Lepisosteus oculatus: one gene and its partner. The protein of the gene in region 1 interacts with the protein of each later gene in a biochemical or structural test. Links are inferred from orthologs where the notes say so. Each region holds a gene or a part of one and is shown on either strand. Other genes may lie near its edges.

Region 1 (9,327 bases):
GAGTCTAGCAACACGTCACATAACGTTTGAGCTTCGGGTGTGTTGTATCCGTTGGTAGAGGATCTCAAAGCGGATTTATTGCGATAACTTTCATTTCGTAATGTATACACTTGGTTAATGTGGCCGTGGAATTGAATGATCTCGAACTGTATACCTGTGATGGCAGATTAAAAGAGTAGTGCGTCACACAACCCAGGATACCTGTCTGTGCTCTTGGTCCGACTGTGACCCAGCTCCAAAGTTAAGAAGGGGGGTGCGCTATGTCCACGTATCAATGGCAAGCAGTATGTGATAAAGACAAGCCCCCACCACACACTTCATCCTTTCTCAGCCCTAAATAAATGTCCTGTTTTAATGAACAGGTAAAGGTTTAGTCGTGGACTAAATAAACTAAACCTTTACCTGTTCCTTTGCAGCCTACGCGTGGTGACCCAGCACCCTGCATGTCCCCTGTCGTATCAATATACAGTATGACGCAGGCACTTACTTTTGTGCAAGGGTATTGTGAGAGCAGCAGCAGTACCAAAACTATTGGTAGTCTTAACACAACACTGACAATAGCGCGTATATCCGTTTCAGTAAACGCTCTGCGTCGTACAGTATGGTGCCGCTGTGAGGCGGTTGAACCTGATTTTTTAAATGGAGGAGGGTCGTCTCCGCACGCAGGCCGTTAGTCTGTCTTGTTGCTCGGTTAGCAAGCCAGGTTTGTGTTAACTCCGGTTTACAGAGAGGAACAAACTGCGCTCGTTAAATTTAAATGTGTTTACACTTTCCGATGAATTATTAATTTCGCAGCTGTCCAGCTGTCTCGGTTTAAACCGGCGGATGTCATATCAGCTTTGAAAGCGTACGACATTATTGTAGTCAGGACTGTACCCTATATATTTTTTTCAGTATATATACTGTATATACGTTTATTTTGTGATAATACAAAATGTGTGCGCTGGTAAGACAAAATTGATCCTTCTGTTATTTTAAAGTTAGAGGTGTTTGGGACTGGAAACGTTTTATAGGATTGACGTATGCATTTGTGATATATTCCGATGCCCTAAAAGTTATTGTATATACATAATTATCCAGTTAGGTGTAGATTTTTATTTTTCTAAATGATGGGTGCTTAATCACTGTGTTGTGACATTAACTGTGTTGTGGTGACATTACACCGCGCTAGAAGATTGAATTTCTTTTGGCGGGACAGGGTGTAGTCTGGTGTTTGAAAACCTCTTTGTCTTTATTAGGTAGCTGGAGAAATTAGCATTTCATCTGGCCTTTGTTGGGAGGTGGGGGAGCACTCCACTCCCTCATCTTGTATGGACTGCATGCCTAAGGGGTATGGAACCAAGACACTACACTTTTTTCTTTGTAGTTTCTGCATTCCTTCTTGGGGCTTGGTTTTATACTGAGCAAAGTTACTGAGACCCAAGATTTTGAATTCCGGAGAAGATTTTGCTTCTTAAGAGTGCCCTTAGCCATTTACTAATATTCTTAGTATATGAATTATAATGCACGTTGAAAATACTGCGTTTAAGAGGTTAGATTCAGAGGTACAAAAGTGGTTAAAATAAACATTTTCTTCCTAAATGAAAAAAAAAATCCTGGTTACACCCTGGATTGTGTCATTGACCCATCACACTAAGACCTTGTGATCAACCTCCTCTGTAGATGCATTTAAAGGCCACAGGGTCTATCCACAATGTGCTGCCTCTGAATCACAGCCACTATAAATACAAAACCACATTCTGATACTGCATGTTAAGGAAACTGAAGCATACCATTTAGATTTTTTTTATTCTTTGTATTTTTACATTGCAGGAGTAATACAGAATGAGCAGCTAGAGATGCCATTTTGGGAATAAATACAGTATTGATTTACTGTACAATCATCCAATGACAGATCATGCTCTAGATTATGAAAAATAACCTTAATTACTTTTTCCCCGCTTCTGATAATTAACAGTGTTCAACTATCAAAAAAAGTCTTCATAAGGCAGCATGAATGGTTGTGGTTGTCTAGAACATTCTACCCAACATTGCTTATTTCAAGAAATGGCTGGATAAGATCAAGCCAGATTAATTAGCTACTAAAAGTGAAACAAGCTAGGAGGGCAAAATTACTTCCTCTGCTTTGGTTTGCATTTTTTTATTCCAGAGTATGTAATGGATAATCATACCCACTGTTTAACCCGATGGGAGTTTCACTTCACAAGACCTCAACATCAGCAGAGGTTTAATATTCCATAAACTTTGAGATGTTAGTACATTCTTTAAATTTAATAATACACCTTTTAAGACTAACATCTGGCACTCCTATGAAAAACTGAAACTAACACTAATGATTATATCATTGTTGTGAAACCCAATATTATTTCAACCACTGACTGCGACAGGTGATAACAGGTTTTACAGCATGTGCTTAAACATATATATTTTTTCTTTTTTAGGGACTGAAGTTCAAAACCACACCTAGTATGAAAGGGAACTTGTCAGCCATTTTGGCTGTGTTTATTTATTCATGTTTATGTTTCAAATGCTTCACAATTTGTTTTTAAAAAAAACAGGTTATACTGACAGTTAGGTGAACATCTGCTACATGAAATCCAAAATACTGTGCATGCTCCCCGATAAACATTTGTTAGAAAGGTTTTATTAAACTAAAGGTTACATAAGGTAAGATATGTATACTCCTAACTTTAATTTTATAATTTTGTGTTTATAAAAACATCATCTCTGTTGAATCATTGCAAACATCTTTCTAAAACAAGCCTGATACGACCTTGTGATTCATATTTTTGTCTTCACAAAGTCACCTGTCTTTTCTAACAGTGGCTGCCTTTTAACATTCTCAGTATGCTTCCCTGACGGTAAACTGTACTGCATTTAAAAAGTCAAAACTAATCTGATTCTCATGGGATGAGCTTTTACCATTAAAATTAATGTGGATTGATTTGTGGAAGAAAATAGGGGGTGGTAATAAAGGGTCAATAGATCTAAAAATCATTAATAATTAACAAAAATAAAAATATTTTTGATATATTAAGATATGTTTTTGAGATGTATTGCTCAAAACTGCGAGTTTGCTCTTGTTTGAAGCAAAATGGGATTCCTTGATAAACAGCACAGTTGAAAAATGACAAGAATATCTTTTTTCTAAATATCTAGGATCCAAACCTCCCCAGTTTTCCTTTGATGAAAGACGTTTGACTTTACTATCAAATATTAATCTGAACTGAGTGGTGAAGAAATTAAAAAAATATATTGTTTTGAATTGACAGCACTATAGCACAGTGGTTAGAATTATTGTCCTGTAGCACTGGGTTCAGTTCTTGATCAGGGGTTATATCTGCGTGACTTTTGTACTGTATGTTCTCCCTATCTGTGCCTGGATTTCATCTGATATATTGTGCTCTGGTTTCTTCCCACAGTCCAAAGACATACTGGTAGGTTAAATGGCTTCTGAGAAAACTGCCCCTGTTGAGAGTGTGTGGTGCCTGTTTGTGTCTGCCTGAGATGGACTGGTGTCCTGCCCAGCATGTACCCTGCCTTGTGCCTGTTGCTTGCTGGGTTAGGCTCCAGCTGCCCTGAACTGGAACAAATTATTAGAAGATCAATGGATGGATTACTTTGAATTTCCATGGGTAAACCCAAACCACCATAGTGATTTTTTTTTTCTCGGTTTGGCGTGAGTTAAGTGTAATCTGAAATGCAATATATCACATAATATTGTATGTTTGTGGTGAATTACTGTACAGTGGTTATTATCCTGTATTTCAAGCTCTGGTCAAAACAATGTATTTTAGAGTTACTTATACTGCAAAAAGAAAGTGATGAGAGTACTGTTAGGTATCACAAATAATGGAAACCAGCCATAATGAAAAGGTTTCAATCACTATGAAGAAATGTTCATACATAGGTATTTCTGCTGCATTATAGGGGTTTTAATAATGGATCTCCATGGAGTCTCTGGGAACGTTGAGTAAATACTAAATATACGTCTTTTTCTTTCCAGCTTTTCCTGCAAGTATTTGAAGACCTTATTGTGGCAGACAATGTTTTCTGTTTAATGTTCTTTTTTGCTTTATTACATTTTTATAATGTTTGGGCCTTATTCAAACATGTATGATTAAATATAATACACATTTAAAATAACAACTGAAACCCAATTAATCATAAAAAATGTTACTTAGCTTTTTAAAAATAATGATGTTACAACTTCATTAAGTTTAAAGCTTTCATTTGTGCATGAAGTGCACCTTGATTTTCACAATCTCTTACAAAACATGCATACAGAAGGAAGACCTAAAATACAATGTCATGTGGCAGGGTATGTCTGGCAGTTTATGTTGGAAAGAAAGGCGTTTTTTGTATTTGAGAAACAAGAAACAAAAGGTCAACTCACTTGGTCTAATTTGAATTTCATGTTACATTAAAAATGAAATAAAAACTTGATGCGTTGTATTTTATGACAATTAGGAGAACTTCATGAGGAGAATAACATATAGGCAGAAAAATGTTTTTAAATCTAATCTATTTAGGTTTTTTTTTTATTAAAACTGAATATCAAACGTCTATACCCAGAGGCTGTATGCCTTTCATTTGTCTGAGCTTTATGGCTTTATAGATATTAATTGAAAACAAAATTTGGCTTGTGGTACTGTACATGGAAGAATTACATTCTAATTATAATTGTTATTGCTTTACTGTGGCATATGTTTTTCATTTTTTCACTATGATAGTATACAGTGCTGCTACGTTGAAGCATGTTCAAAGCTTGAAGATGTATACAGTATATCTGTTAAATGCATATTAAAGTTGTGCTAAAACTGATGCCTAGTTTAAGTACTGCAACAATGCCTGCATCTCCGCTTGTCTGTGCTGACATGACTCTTATTTTGTCTTTTCCTCACCTTAATATTGACCTTTTATTTTGTTTTGTATAAAAGAACCACATAAAACAAGATGTTTAAGGTATTCCTTAAACATTCCTTTTGAAAATCTTGATGAAATATGTGCTTCACTTACAAAAGGGTAAATTGTTTTATTTCACTTTTAAAACACTAACAAAGTGAAATACACGAAACACCTGAAATAACCATATATTTTTAGATCCTGCAAAAAACCTGTCCTTTTTACAATGGAACACTAAAAGGGTAACTCATATTCCGTCATATACTTTACATCCGTAAAGTAAATATAGAATACGCTGCATTTGTATTGTGTTAATTATTCATTGTAATACTTTAGAGAATGCTCAATACCTGTATCATATTACTCTAAATGTTAATTAGCACCAAGTCAGTGAAAAACAGTTTTCTAGTTATGGACAACAATCTAGGTTTTTCCAATTCTGAATGGGGCAGGCTCTAGGATCTCGAGGGTCTGCCACCAGGAAGAGAAGCTGAATAGTGCTATTCAGTGTACTGTGTGCAGAATGAAGTCAGTATACATATGCTCTCTTCATGTGTACAGTCTATGCAAGTAAGCCAAGAGCGCCTTCAGAAAACTTTGTTTCACCAGTTTTGAGAAAAGGTAAATAATTTCTTATTTTTTATTAATGAACTTATTTCTTTGCAATTTTGACAGGCTTCATATCATTCACAACAATAGACATTTTAAGGGTGTGAAACAACATCTTACTCTTGCTACTAAAGTAAAAAAGATGGGTAGGAATAATATGTAAGGCTCATGTTGCCTGGCCTTAGGACAGCATTTTGAATCTGTATTTCTTTAGAACCTGAGAGGAAGTAAACATGGATGGGTGTGTTTACTTCCATCCTAGGTGTCCAAGGGTAGCTTCAGAGGATTGCTTCATACTAACTGTATGTGATGATGAAATGGCTTCTGAAATGGCAGGAAAGCAAGAAACATTTTGTATTTTTTTTGTAATGTCTCTTGGTTTGACAATTGCAAAATGTTGCTTGATGTATTTCCTTTATGTATTTATTGCAGAAATGATCCTGTCCTCTAACAACTGCTCTTTATATATGACCTAGCACATGAAGTATCATGACCAAGTGATTAAAAACATCTGTTCAGCACTGCATTAGGTTCTATATTTAGGTTGTATGTTGTTGGTATTAAGTAGTATAATTTGTATAGGTTCCTTTATAATGCAGTAATTCTAATAGATGTATTGATTGAATAACTACGTTAGTTGTCCATGTTTCTGATGAGCCACCAATAAATCAATTTTTTAAATGTTCAGTTATATTAACAAAAAATGTTGTATTTGTGAACAACTCTATAAAAGAATGCCAAAGGGACTACTTCAGAGAATGTTTTATTGCCATCTGGCTGGTAGTACAATATTAACATTGGTAGGTCCAGCCTGTTAATGAATAACTTCAACAGACATTTACATTTCGTTCTCTAACAGAAAGTGGTGAAGATTTGAAACTGACCAAGCAAACTATGATTTTCTTAATGTAAGGGAAGAATGTCAATATGAGGAGTGTTATCCTGATATAAATTTTGTCTTCATATCTTAAAATACACACAAACAGGTAGTGTCCCTTTCAGTGACTTCAGCGTTCTTATTTCAGTCATTGAGCAATGCAGATTTAGGTTTATTCATTAAAGTATATTTTATTAAACCTGGAACTTTCTGTTATGTTAGTTTACCGAGGATCAGCTTGTTGATAGCAATATTTAGGGGTTCCAAAATGGTATAAAATCTAAGAAATTAGTTCTGTTTTCCAATGAGTGAAACTGGAAGAGAAAATCTGGCACTTTAGAGGCCATTTAATCATTGTACACTATTACAAATGAGATTAGAAAGAGATCAGTTTGTTCATACAAGCATTTGAGAAAATGTACAACTGGAAGTGCTTTATGCATTATTATAAGTGCTTCCTTAATTGAATAAAGAAGTAAATGAAAGACATCCATGAGGAGAGTTTTTTTTCTTCCTTGATGTTGTCAGTGGGTTTGTTTTCTCCTTCGATAGTTTCATGAATGTGTTACCTAAGTATATAGACTGTATTTCACAGCCTCAGAGGATTCTCAGTTTGTGTGATGAATTTCAAAACTGCTGTTTTACCTAGAGAATCCTTCATTGGATGGATGGAAGTACTTAAACCAATGAAGGGATGATAGAGTCTTTGGCTTAAATTTGGCTTTTGAAGTATGTAATTAAATATTTATAGAATTAAATTAATCTTTTTAAATGGTCTTAGCTACTTTATGTAGTAAAGTGGGAGGGTTTCAATGTCACAGAGTAAAAGATTATGAGAACCTTTTGATCTCTGCCTTGTAATACATACTTTTTGACTACAGCTGTCTTTAAAGTACTTTGTTAAAATAAGAACTTACATGTGGTTACTTCGTTTAACCAGTTTTTAGGTGACAATTCATTTATTTCCATTAAGAATTAGTTAATTTGTACCGTCACAAATAGGACCATATAAAGAGGGAATCAGGGAAATCATTGTAGTATTTTTCGTTATCTAGACGATGTGAAAAGATATCCTGAAATCTACATAAAAATAAAACTTGAGTTTGATTTATAGTGTTTTTTGTCAATTTGCACAATGCTCTTTTACACGCAAATACTGTATATGCCTCTATATTCTGGCATTTCGAAAAGCGGTGTTTCAATATATATTGTCTTTTCATTTCTGGCAATGGGTCTTTTGAATTAATACTGGGAAATAAAATTAAGATTAAAATCAGGAAATGCGTTTAATCCGTTGTTTCCCAGAAATAAAAATGGTGACATAAATGTATGGGTGTATCCTCGTTTGTAAGAGGGGGAATTCACTGTTTGAGAACTTTATTAGCATTAGGACCCGGAGATTTACACCCTCTACCTGTTGGCAGGTGGTGATTAAAGGAGCTATGCCCATAATTGGAGCCCGGAGACGTTAAGGAAGGGATGGGCGAGGTCACCTGTACACGTCACTGCATGTTCGAAACTACCTAGGACCGAGAGTTTCGCAGTTGCAGCCTCTGTTTTGAAGGAAGCACACCTTTCCACAAGGTTGAAAGACTCTTAAGGATTTATAATCAACAGATTTGGGCTGCAAATAAGGGATTCTATACAACCTTTCAAACTGATGGGGAGTGTCAGGAGTTTACAGCTGGGAGTAATCCTTCTCTTGGTCCAGGTAAGTCTTCGTGTTTGATTGAAAACGACCAGATCCACAAAGAAATCTCGTTTGACCCAGTATAACAGTTCTTACAGCACGTAGGTTTTAAAGCATCCGATATTGTAGTTTGTATTTATGCGTTTTAGACCCATTGAAAATCCTTTCAATGTGTTCATATAACGTAGATCAGTCGACATTAAAAAATTATGAAGCCTGTAATAACTTCCTGCTGATTGCTCTGTTTTAACGCTACCTTTTAAAGCAATCCTAGAAGAAAATCTATTAATAAAAACGTTTCACCAAAAAGCCTTCAGAAAAAATATTTTGAAAGTTCTTAAAATACGGCATTACCTTTTCAGAATATTACACTGAAACTTGTACGTTCCCATTTCCTGTTTCAAATGATTTAAAGAACTGGTGAACCGGACTCCATGTTATATACCTGTGGATCCTCTCAGACAATCTATTTATTTTTAGTGTTTTTGTAGTATTTTTGATAAGTGCCAATGTGAATTTGTTTCTTAAATACGTGTAACGGATCCCACAGTCGCCCGAAAACAGAGGCTCCTTGAGCTTGACCAAAGCGTCTAAACCCTTTCCAAAAATGGTCTAGTTTTCTTCCTTTTAATAAAACTATACTTTATTTATATAGTAGTGTCGTTTACACTAACATGAGATATTTATGAGATATATATAATATCATATCATTATATTAGTCTCCCTGTAATTTTCCCTCTATTTTCCTACTACTTCTTGCATACAAGTCAAAACTGTATTTCGCAAGTTCGCATCCAGGTATTACAAATGTCCGCTTGAGTGTCTTCGGTTTTTGTTGTTATAGGTTTTGGCTTCAGGATCTTGTGACGAGTCTGTGCCATGCCAGCCTGGCTTCAGTTCCGACAGCTTTGTCTTCAAAGTAAATCGGGAACATTTGCCGAGGGGCCGGATATTGGGGAGAGGTAAGCAATTATATACGTGTATGATTTGGTACACATAACTATCTGCTATATATTTTATATGAAGCTTTGTTTTTCAAGCATACAATTTTCTCGTTCGTTTACGCGACTTCTCAATATCATTGTAAAACAATTTCGATGTTGTTTTCTATTGACTCGTGTTACCCGTTGTTATCCGTTTTAAATCTTTAGAACCTTCTTTAGACTTCCACGTTTTAGTGCGGGTGCTTTATAGAGACATGCTTACGTAGTGTTTTGAAAGAATTAAATTAAAAATAAGTCCCCTT
Region 2 (8,991 bases), on another chromosome or scaffold:
GGGGGGCCAACTTACCTTGGCTTTTACCTTGCCTTTAAATATTCAGCGGACTTCAGCGTAACATACCAGAAGAAGGTGCACGCACGTATGGGTTTCAGAGGCTGGAGTAAATGCATCGCCCCGAGGGTAATATCGAGTGAGGCGCCATGAGAATAAAAACTGCGAAGGTATTAAAATATTAAGTTCTGAAGATCTTGTTTGATCCTTCATGATGTTTTTAAACTTGTATGAAACCCACGAAATTAGTGTTCTATTTTCGTTGCCAAAAGACACCTTATTTGGAAATTCGTGACTTCCCACAAGACTTTACACTGAATTGTTATAGTCCATTTACAGTGCTAACCAATTAATCGTACCTTTAAGTGCAAGAATGGTCTGCTAATAAAAGCGTCAAATACATACTTTGGATGTATTTTAGCTCTGTAAACGTCGTTTACTTAAAAATACTGCAGGTCATTTAGAGGCGATATCGAATAGTTATCTGTAAAATGCACACTCGCATCTCTCCTTCAATATTTTATCTTAATGTTGTTCATGCATTTCAAACCTTGTAATTTGTTTACAGGAGAAATTTTAGAAGGTCTTCGTGCTTAACTCATACAGGTGGAGCATGTATCTGTACATGTTCTGGGAAGCTGGGAAGCAGCTGGGAAGTTACTTTCAACGGCACAAACCGGCACAAACGCAGCACTAACGATTGAGATCGGTCCGGTTCCCCTACGACATTGTAGGAGGGCTGAGTGACGTCACCCCCCCCAAAGAAGGCGCTATATCTCGGGAAAGAAAGAAGCTGGGAAGTTACTTTCAACGGCACAAACCGGCATAAACGTAGTACTAACGAATGGGACCGGTTTGGTTTCCCTACGACATTGTAGAGGGGCTGAGTGACGTCACGACCCCGAAGAAACAGGGCGCTATATCTCGGAAACGAAAGCAGCACAGACGCTGCTTTCTACTAGACGCTACTAACCGGCACAAACGAATGAGGTGGGTTTCACCGTTTGTGCTGTTTGGAGGGGGGGTCAACTTCACGGAGTTACCTCAGCGTGATTGCTGTTAAACGCCGAGTTGCCGTGCTATCTGTATAGGGTGTGTCACTATGAGTAGTGGTAGTGGGAGGAGGAAGTGGAGAATAAACTTCTCTGTCACACACACGTGTTCATTAATATCGGACTGTTGAGTATTTCAGCATTTTTTCGTATTCAGCTGCTGCCTTATGCCCTTGTCTGTAATTGTCCGGCTGCTGGGTGTGCCGAAGCCCTGGAGCGGAGCGGGCTGGACCGTGACCGGGTTCCCTGCTGCAGTGTGTTTTAGATTACCTCTGACATCACACAGGAGGAGCCTGTGCGGACAGGTGTCAATGAGCTCCGTGACTCATGTTGACTCGTTTTCCTGCAACATCGTGAGAGAATGATCTGTCATTTCTTCCGATACTTAAAATACAGTTGTTACAGACGTAAATAAACGGCCATCCGGTATGAGAAAAGTATCGGGAGTTGTTTTTAAATCACCTCTGCTCCGACAAATTGGTAGATGTCAGATGGCTACTAGTTAATTCCCTGGGGTGGAGCAGTGGCTCTGTGGCTGAGGATCTGTGCCTGTGGAAGGTTGCTGGCTCAAATCCCACAGCTGGCAGAGGACTCCTACTCTGTTGGGCCCCTGAGCAAGGCCCTTAACCCCAGCTACTCCAGGGGTGCTGTATAAATGGCTGACCCTGCGCTCTGACCCCCAGCTTCTCTCCCTGTCTGTGTGTCTCATGGAGAGCAAGCTGGGGTATGTGAAAAGCCAAATTCCTAATGCAATAAATTGTATATGGCCACTAAAGTGATCTTATTATTTTTCCAGCCGTGTATCAAACAAATCAACATTCCTCAGGGCTATGGCCCTGATTTCTTTTTAGTACTCATCAGGGATCCATTCCAGGACCTGTGGGAAAGTTCTACACTGACAGGCTGAAGGAACTCATACCCTGAGATCCTCCAGTCAGGACAGGAGGCACTGCTTTACACAAAGGGTGGTGGGAGTGTGGAGCGAGCTGGATGAGCTTCTCAGATCATTTAACTACTAACCCAACGCGCTGAAGGGCCTGGCCTTGCTAGTTAACAGTTCTTATGTTCTCACGGTCTGAGCCTGACCCCCCCCCCGCCCCTGCGGACACAGGGGGCCGGCGATGACCTCCGTATCGGTGCGGCGCTGCGGTCGGCGGCCAGTCCCTCGCGCTCCGAGCGGGTCGCCGTGATGTGCCGTGCGCGTCCAGGCCAGCGCGTGACGAGCGGTCACGGCGGTCTGCGGCTGGGCCTCGGGATTGTGGAATGTTAATAATTTCCGTTTCTAAACAATTCCACTTCCCCTTTCCTTTGTGTGCCTGTTCCATGAAGGATGACATCACCCTGGCCGACTTCTCCCCCGAGGGGGCTGAGCTCCGCACACAGAAACAATCCGGCCTCACACGGCGCCCGTGGCTGTAGCGCAGGACCTTCACAAGTCCACGCCAACACGCTCTGCTTACTTTTGCTCCTGTATCGCCAGGAACTTGTTGGACTTTCTGAAGAAGCTTAGGCCTCTGTGAGTAGGCCGCAGGATGAGGGACGAGAGGGAGACAGAGGGAGAGGGAGTGTCACTAAGCACTGGACCCCAGGAAAGATGGGCTCTCAGACTCATCACCTGTTGTCTCCTGGGTTTTGCTCTGAACCGCGGAGCCAATTAAACAGGTTGTGATTTGGCTTCCAAAGCCAACTACTAAAAGGTTTGCTCCATTGTTGTGGCATCTGATCTGCATTGGATATAGCACCTTTCATGACACATCATTGCTTTTTACCATGAAACGTGGTAAAAACAATCGAGACACTTGCACACAGATCAATGCAGTAAAATCATGCCTAATTAGGGGGATTAGCGGACACTGCAGAAGCTCCCAAATTCAATTAAAAAGGATTTAAATAGACGTCAGAACAGGGTAAACACCTGGCAGATGATATTCAATGTACGTGCAGATAGGGAAAAATATCAATCCAATTTCTTTGTTGTTCCAAATTGTGAGGACAATGAACTGAATCTCTTTAGTTTTGAATGGGGAAGACTATAAGGGAACTTGATTCAAGTAAATGAAAAAAATTAAAATATATTGACAAAGTCAGCCCAGCGGAGCTCGTCAGGATCTACAGGGAAACAGGAACCAGAGGACACAGGTGGAAACTACAGGGCAGACCATATAAACTGAGAAACAGAGGCACAGAGATTGTGACAGTGATGCTGTGGACTGGAGCCCCAGTGGACACCTGTCCTGAGAGAGCAGAGTGACAGTGAAGCTGTGGACTGGAGCCCCAGTGGACACCTGTCCTTAGAGAGCACTGTGACAGTGAAGCTGTGGACTGGAGCCCTAGTGGACACCTGTCCTGAGAGAGAGCAGTGTGACAGTGATGCTGTGCACTGGAGCCCCAGTGGACACCTGTCCTGAGAGAGCAGAGAGTGACAGAGATGCTGTGCACTGGAGCCCCAGTGGACACCTGTCCTGAGAGAGCAGAGAGTGACAGAGATGCTGTGCACTGGAGCCCCAGTGGACACCTGTCCTGAGAGAGCAGAGAGTGACAGAGATGCTGTGCACTGGAGCCCCAGTGGACACCTGTGGGATAATCTGGGACAACAGGTAGCACTGGGGCTCAGAGACCAGTGAACAGACACACGCTTGTCCAGACTGTAGGAAAGGAGACACAATCCCACAATCCGGCTTCTCACAGCAGAGCCTGTTGAACAAGCCTGTGCATGACCAACGCTAATCAGCACCATTCATTTATCTCTGTTACAGGTGATGATGAAAAGCCACAGACCAGAAGAGGACCCCACCTGATCACAGCTAAACTGCTCACCTGAGGGAGGGCTGCTGCTACAGCACAGTGCCTCACCTCCCTGAGACGCTGCAAGCTACACACACTCCTCCCGGGGCAGGCGTGAGCGCACACCCTGAAACTGGGGAGGTGAAAGCGCCGGCGGGTCGGGCTCCGGCGTGTTGACCGAGAACAAGGGGCCGAGGCGCTCATTTGCATATCGCCACACGCGCTCTTTGACCCCGCGCAGCCAGACTTCCGCCCGCCCGCCGTGTGGCGCTCGTGAACTCTCGCCGACTGCGCTCGACACGCCCCGGACCGCGGGCTGTAATTGTCTGCGCTTAATTAAAGGACCAGGGCGCAACTTCCTGACTGGAGCTCGCCGAGCCTGCTCGTGAGCAGGGCGAGGGAACGCAACACGTCGGATAAAAAAAAGCGCCTTAGCTATTGGTCGGCTCCACACCCCTCCCTTTTTTTTTTCGGGCTAATCTTCCTCCTCTCTTCCCGAAAGAATGATGGGAGGATCCCATTGGACTGGGAGCCGCTCCCAGCTGCCGCGCCCTGGGGGGTACCGTAGTACACGGGGTATGCGCACACCTCTAAACAATGAGCTCATGAGTCTGTTTTCTTATATTCCAAGCGTATGGAATAAAAGCAGAAACACAGATCCTGTACGTATTATTATTATTATGATAATGATGATTCTTATTCAGTCCTGGGAACTCGCAAACAATTCTGGTTCCACTTCCAACCTCTCTATTAAGATGAACATGTATGCAAGAAATACGTCATCAAAACTATCAAACAAAATGAACATCTGGGCTGCTGTTCTGTATTTCTAAATAGGGTATACGTTAATGACACTTGAGAGGAGGCCCAGGCGCTAGCGGGGGGGACAGACGAGCCTCCGGGCGCGCTCCGGTTTTAGGGTGTCCACCTACCCCGGTCGTTACGGTAACCCCTGTACACATCCCCCTCCCAGCCCTGCTGCGCGAGATTCACGGGCTCCAACTTTAACAGGGAGAGTCGACAGGGACACGGAGCAGCGGAAAGACGGGAACACGGACAGAGAAAGAGAGGTGGGGAAAAAGAGGGAGGGGATAGTCCTTTTTTTTTGTTTTCTTTCTTTCTTCCTCGCTTGCTTCCTTTTCTGGCTGGGGTGTCCACACCCATGTAGTCGCGGAGCGGAGTCGGTACAGTCAGACGCCCGAATTCGGCGGCGGGGAAAAACCGTGAGAGAGAGAGAGAGACAGACTCGGAGCAGCCCCGGCAGCGCTCAGGCCCGGGACACGCACTCACGCACGGCCCCGGGAGACACGGCCAAGCGTACACACACACACACAGGCACACTCGAGTCCTCCCCGGGATAGGATTTCGGCGTGCGGGAGAGGACGGCTCCTAGGTAGGTCTCAGCGGCGGCGGCGGCGGGTGGATGTCGGAAGTGCCTGGGAGTCGGGGCGCACGAGACTGAGCGGCTCGGGCTGGCTGGCTGGCTGGCTCGAGCCCCGTCCCGGCAGGCTCCGCTCGAGCGGCCGGGGCGAGTCGGGGCCGCGGGCGGCTCTCGCAGGCGCACGTCTCCTCTCGCACCGGGTCGGGGGGACGGGTTTATTTATTTTTTTAAAAAAAGGCAGACACAAAGGAAGAGACGCGCAGGAGGAACAGCTCCTGACGGTCCGAAGTTTCTCTGCCCCCCCCTTTTTTTCCCTAAAAGCAAATCTGCGCCGTCTCTCCGCTGTGGAGATTTTCGTCTTTTCTTTGCTAACTTGAACGCTGTTGCCCGCTGTCTAGTTATTTTTGTAACGAGCCCCAGCTTTCGTGTGGTTGCGGCGCCCGAGTCCTCTTTTCCAGAGGCCCACTTCCACACAGAAACTCGCTGCGCAACCGCGGAGCCCCAACTCCGGCGTTCTCGCGCGGCTGGGCGGCGTGTCCGGCCGTTTGAACACGTATGCCGAGAGGGAGACGGAGGATTATCGCGAACCGACGGTGAGGGTGGTGGGTGGGGGGGAGGAGGGAGAAAGCTACTGTTGGTAGTGCCCGAAGATGTCCGTCTGTCCCTGGGACACCTCGCCGCTTCAAAATAAAAGCGCTCTCCCTAGCTTGAGTGTGGGCTGTGGAAGGGACTGGGAGGTGCGGCTCCCGGGCGCCGGTCTCAGCCCTGCCGTCTCTCTGCCTCTCGCTCAGCGTGGCGGACTGGGGGACTCGTGCAGCGGGACGTCGCCGCGAGGGGAGAGACCGTGACGCCCAGCGCGAGCCAGTGACGACCGACGGTTCCGGCGCCGGACAGCAGCGACGCGCCCGGCGGGACCAGGTGAGGTAAGGGCTCGGCCCGTCCTGCCCCCGTGTGTGTGTGTGTCCAGGCTGCAGCCGGAGTACCGGGGACCTGGCGGCCCGCCGTGTGTGCGGTTACAGTTGGAGTTTCAGCGCTTCGCCGGAGTTTTCTTGTGGTTTTGACTGACGGCGTCAGGACGGTGTCGCGGGTGGCGGTGGAGCAGAAAGGTCTGCGGGGGTCCAGGGGTGTGGGGAGGCACCAGCGCCGGGGGGGTTCGGGCCCGGTCGCCAGGTGTGTCCTCGCCGGCGCCGCTCCCCCCTCGACTTGCTTGTTTTGAAATGCTGGAGCCGAAACTGCCGCCCGCCCCCCCCACACACACCGCCCAGCATGTCCCGACTCGCGAGTGTGACGCCACAGCTCGCCGCGGTCACCGGTGGCGCTGCGGGCGGCTCGCGAACCGGTTCGGTGGGTCTGTGAGGCGACGTGCTCGCGCACGCACCCCGCCGGAGCGCGAGTGGGTGAAGCGAAGCGCCGATGACCCGGCCAGGCCGCGCGGGTCCTCCGGGCTCGCGGCAGCCCGAGGGATCCCCAGCCCTCGCCACGGGCTCGCGCACGGTGCGCGCGATAGCTGGGAGTTCTCGACCTCTTACGTTCGCATTCTTCGGTGCGCGCGGTTCTTTGAGGGGGGGCAGCTGTGGATCTGGAGCGCTGGAGCTGTGCTGGGGAGGGCGGGAGCTAGCCTGGCCCGGTGCCGTTTGGGCCGGTTCGGGGCGGAGCTGCAGCAGGCAGCGGCCATTACAGCTCACCTGTACCTGCGCCGGGCCCGGCGGGGGCGCGCTCGCTGTCGAGATAAGAGTCCCTCGGCCTCTGCGCTCCCTGCGCAGCCTCGTTATTGAGGCCAGATGTTTGTAGTTCGCTCGTCATCTCGCCTAGGTTTCCGGGTTCAGAGTCCAATAACGCTATTTTGAAATCGTCTGCAGGAGAAAACTGAATCTTTGTGTCCCGCAGTAGAGTTGAGTTTTCATGTGAAACGTGCTGACTATTCATTAATACAGTACAGTCTGGATATTAACACTGCACTGAGAGAGAGGGGTTAATACAGTCCAGACACACTGACTGGACACTCCAGGACATTAACACTGCACTGAGAGAGAGGGGTTAATACAGTCCAGACACACTGACTGGACACTACAGGACATTAACACTGCACTGAGAGAGAGGGGTTAATACAGTCCAGACACACTGACTGGACACTACAGGACATTAACACTGCACTGAGAGAGAGGGGTTAATACAGTCCAGACACACTGACTGGACACTACAGGACATTAACACTGCACTGAGAGAGAGGGGTTAATACAGTCCAGACACACTGACTGGACACTACAGGACATTAACACTGCACTGAGAGAGAGGGGTTAATACAGTCCAGACACACTGAAGAGGAGCGATTATGGTGGTTGAAGTGTTTTTGAGGTCCAGGGGATAAGGGATGCCGGTGGAACCAGTCTGATGTGGTCTGGGGTTGTGGTGGAGGGCCCGGGTTCCCCGTTGAGGAGTTGTGTGTGTGTTGTGGGGGGGGGGGGGGGAGTCAGACTGATCACATTCTGGCTGGTGGGAGATGCTCCCTCTGTAGCTTCTCACTGCCGGAGTTCTGTGGCGTTGTGGTCTCATTGGCCCGGCCTGTATTCCTGCAGGTCAGGTCCCAGCGTGGATGACAGTCATTCCAGCAGCATCGTTGTGTGAAACGTGAGTGTCGCCAGGTTTCAGGAGGAGTGTTGGCAGTAGGAGTAGAGCCGTGTTCCAATGGGACAGGGAAGCCCCGAGTCCAGCAACGCTGGAGCATGAGACATCGGCACCGGGTGGCCTGTTCCCCACTCCCACAACCCTTTGTGTAGGACGTGCCTCCTGGTTTTGGTTTTAAATGCCTGTTGCTCGGGCCTTTGTAAATTGTGAAAGTTTGTGTTGTTTCCGCTTCTAGTCTGCACCGTTCAAGACCGTCTCGATCTGCTTCCTCCGGCCTGGCAGTGCAGGACTTTCCCTGCAGCCCGGGCGTGTCTCGGGTGTTCCTCTCCGGACGCGTTCCAGAGCAGCACTGCCTTCTCTGTAGTGTGGTGACAGAGGGGTTATGTCCCTGTTTGAGACTAAAAGAGGCTCGAGGCTCGGAGGTTATAATCTCAGGTGGGGCTCAGTCGGTCAGGGTAGCCCTGGCCTGACCCAGGACTCGGCGGGAGAGATGACCGCAGGCGGATCTGGCCTTCAGGGCCCCCGCTGGGCCTCGGCAAGGCTCTGAAAACACAGTGGGGCAGTGAGCACGCGCAGACGGGCTTCTTCCCGACTCGGCGTGGCCCAGGAGCGGTGGACGGGTCCGGCTCGTGAGCGAGCCTCTCCCAGCCCCTCGGCGGGGCCCGTGGGTCGGTCTTGCCGCGGCTCTGTGAGCGGCGTGGGGACTGCCGGGCAGCTCCCCGCGGGGCGCGCTAGTCAGCTGGCAGGTCCGTGGTGAGCCGGGGTGTTGCCCGTGCGTCGGTGCTGTGGCTGTCCCGTGAGGGAGGGCTTTCTCGTGCTCTTCAAGCGTGCGTCCTCTGTCCCGCGGGGCGCGATACTTTCCTTGGGGTGCTCCTTGGCTATTCGGGGTGCTGTTGTGCAGCTCCCCCCGGTGCACCTGCGTAGGCGCTGGTATACCCCATCCCTCGCGGTCATGGTTACCGTCTGTCCTCAGGCCGCGCCTGGTCCCCTGTTGCCCCGGAAACGCAGCGGCGGTAACCATGATCGTCGGCAGTGGCCCGTGTGGGGCTCGGCGGTGCTGTACGCCCAGGGGCCTCGTGAGCAGAGGGACCAGCGGGAGAGTCGCGCAGAGGGGGCCGCGCTGCTGCTGCTCCAGGGGTCTCGCACAGCCGC

The links.
Region 2: the proteins of cdh31 (region 1) and ctnnd1 form a complex in vitro, tested with the Homo sapiens proteins (5 studies listed by BioGRID and IntAct, with this or other methods). The link is inferred for Lepisosteus oculatus from reciprocal best matches to the Homo sapiens genes CDH1 and CTNND1.

Annotation. Positions count from the first base shown.
Region 1 is NC_090715.1:9,220,458-9,229,784, forward strand, and holds the start of cdh31 (B-cadherin), read left to right. Parts: upstream 1-5,436; 5' UTR 5,437-5,526; intron 5,527-7,815; 5' UTR 7,816-8,051; coding exon 8,052-8,102; intron 8,103-8,925; coding exon 8,926-9,043; intron 9,044-9,327.
Region 2 is NC_090701.1:41,498,868-41,507,858, forward strand, and holds the start of ctnnd1 (catenin delta-1), read left to right. Parts: upstream 1-5,352; 5' UTR 5,353-5,769; coding exon 5,770-5,807; intron 5,808-6,005; coding exon 6,006-6,132; exon of another isoform or gene 6,133-6,137; intron 6,138-8,991. UniProt on the Homo sapiens protein: Key regulator of cell-cell adhesion that associates with and regulates the cell adhesion properties of both C-, E- and N-cadherins, being critical for their surface stability.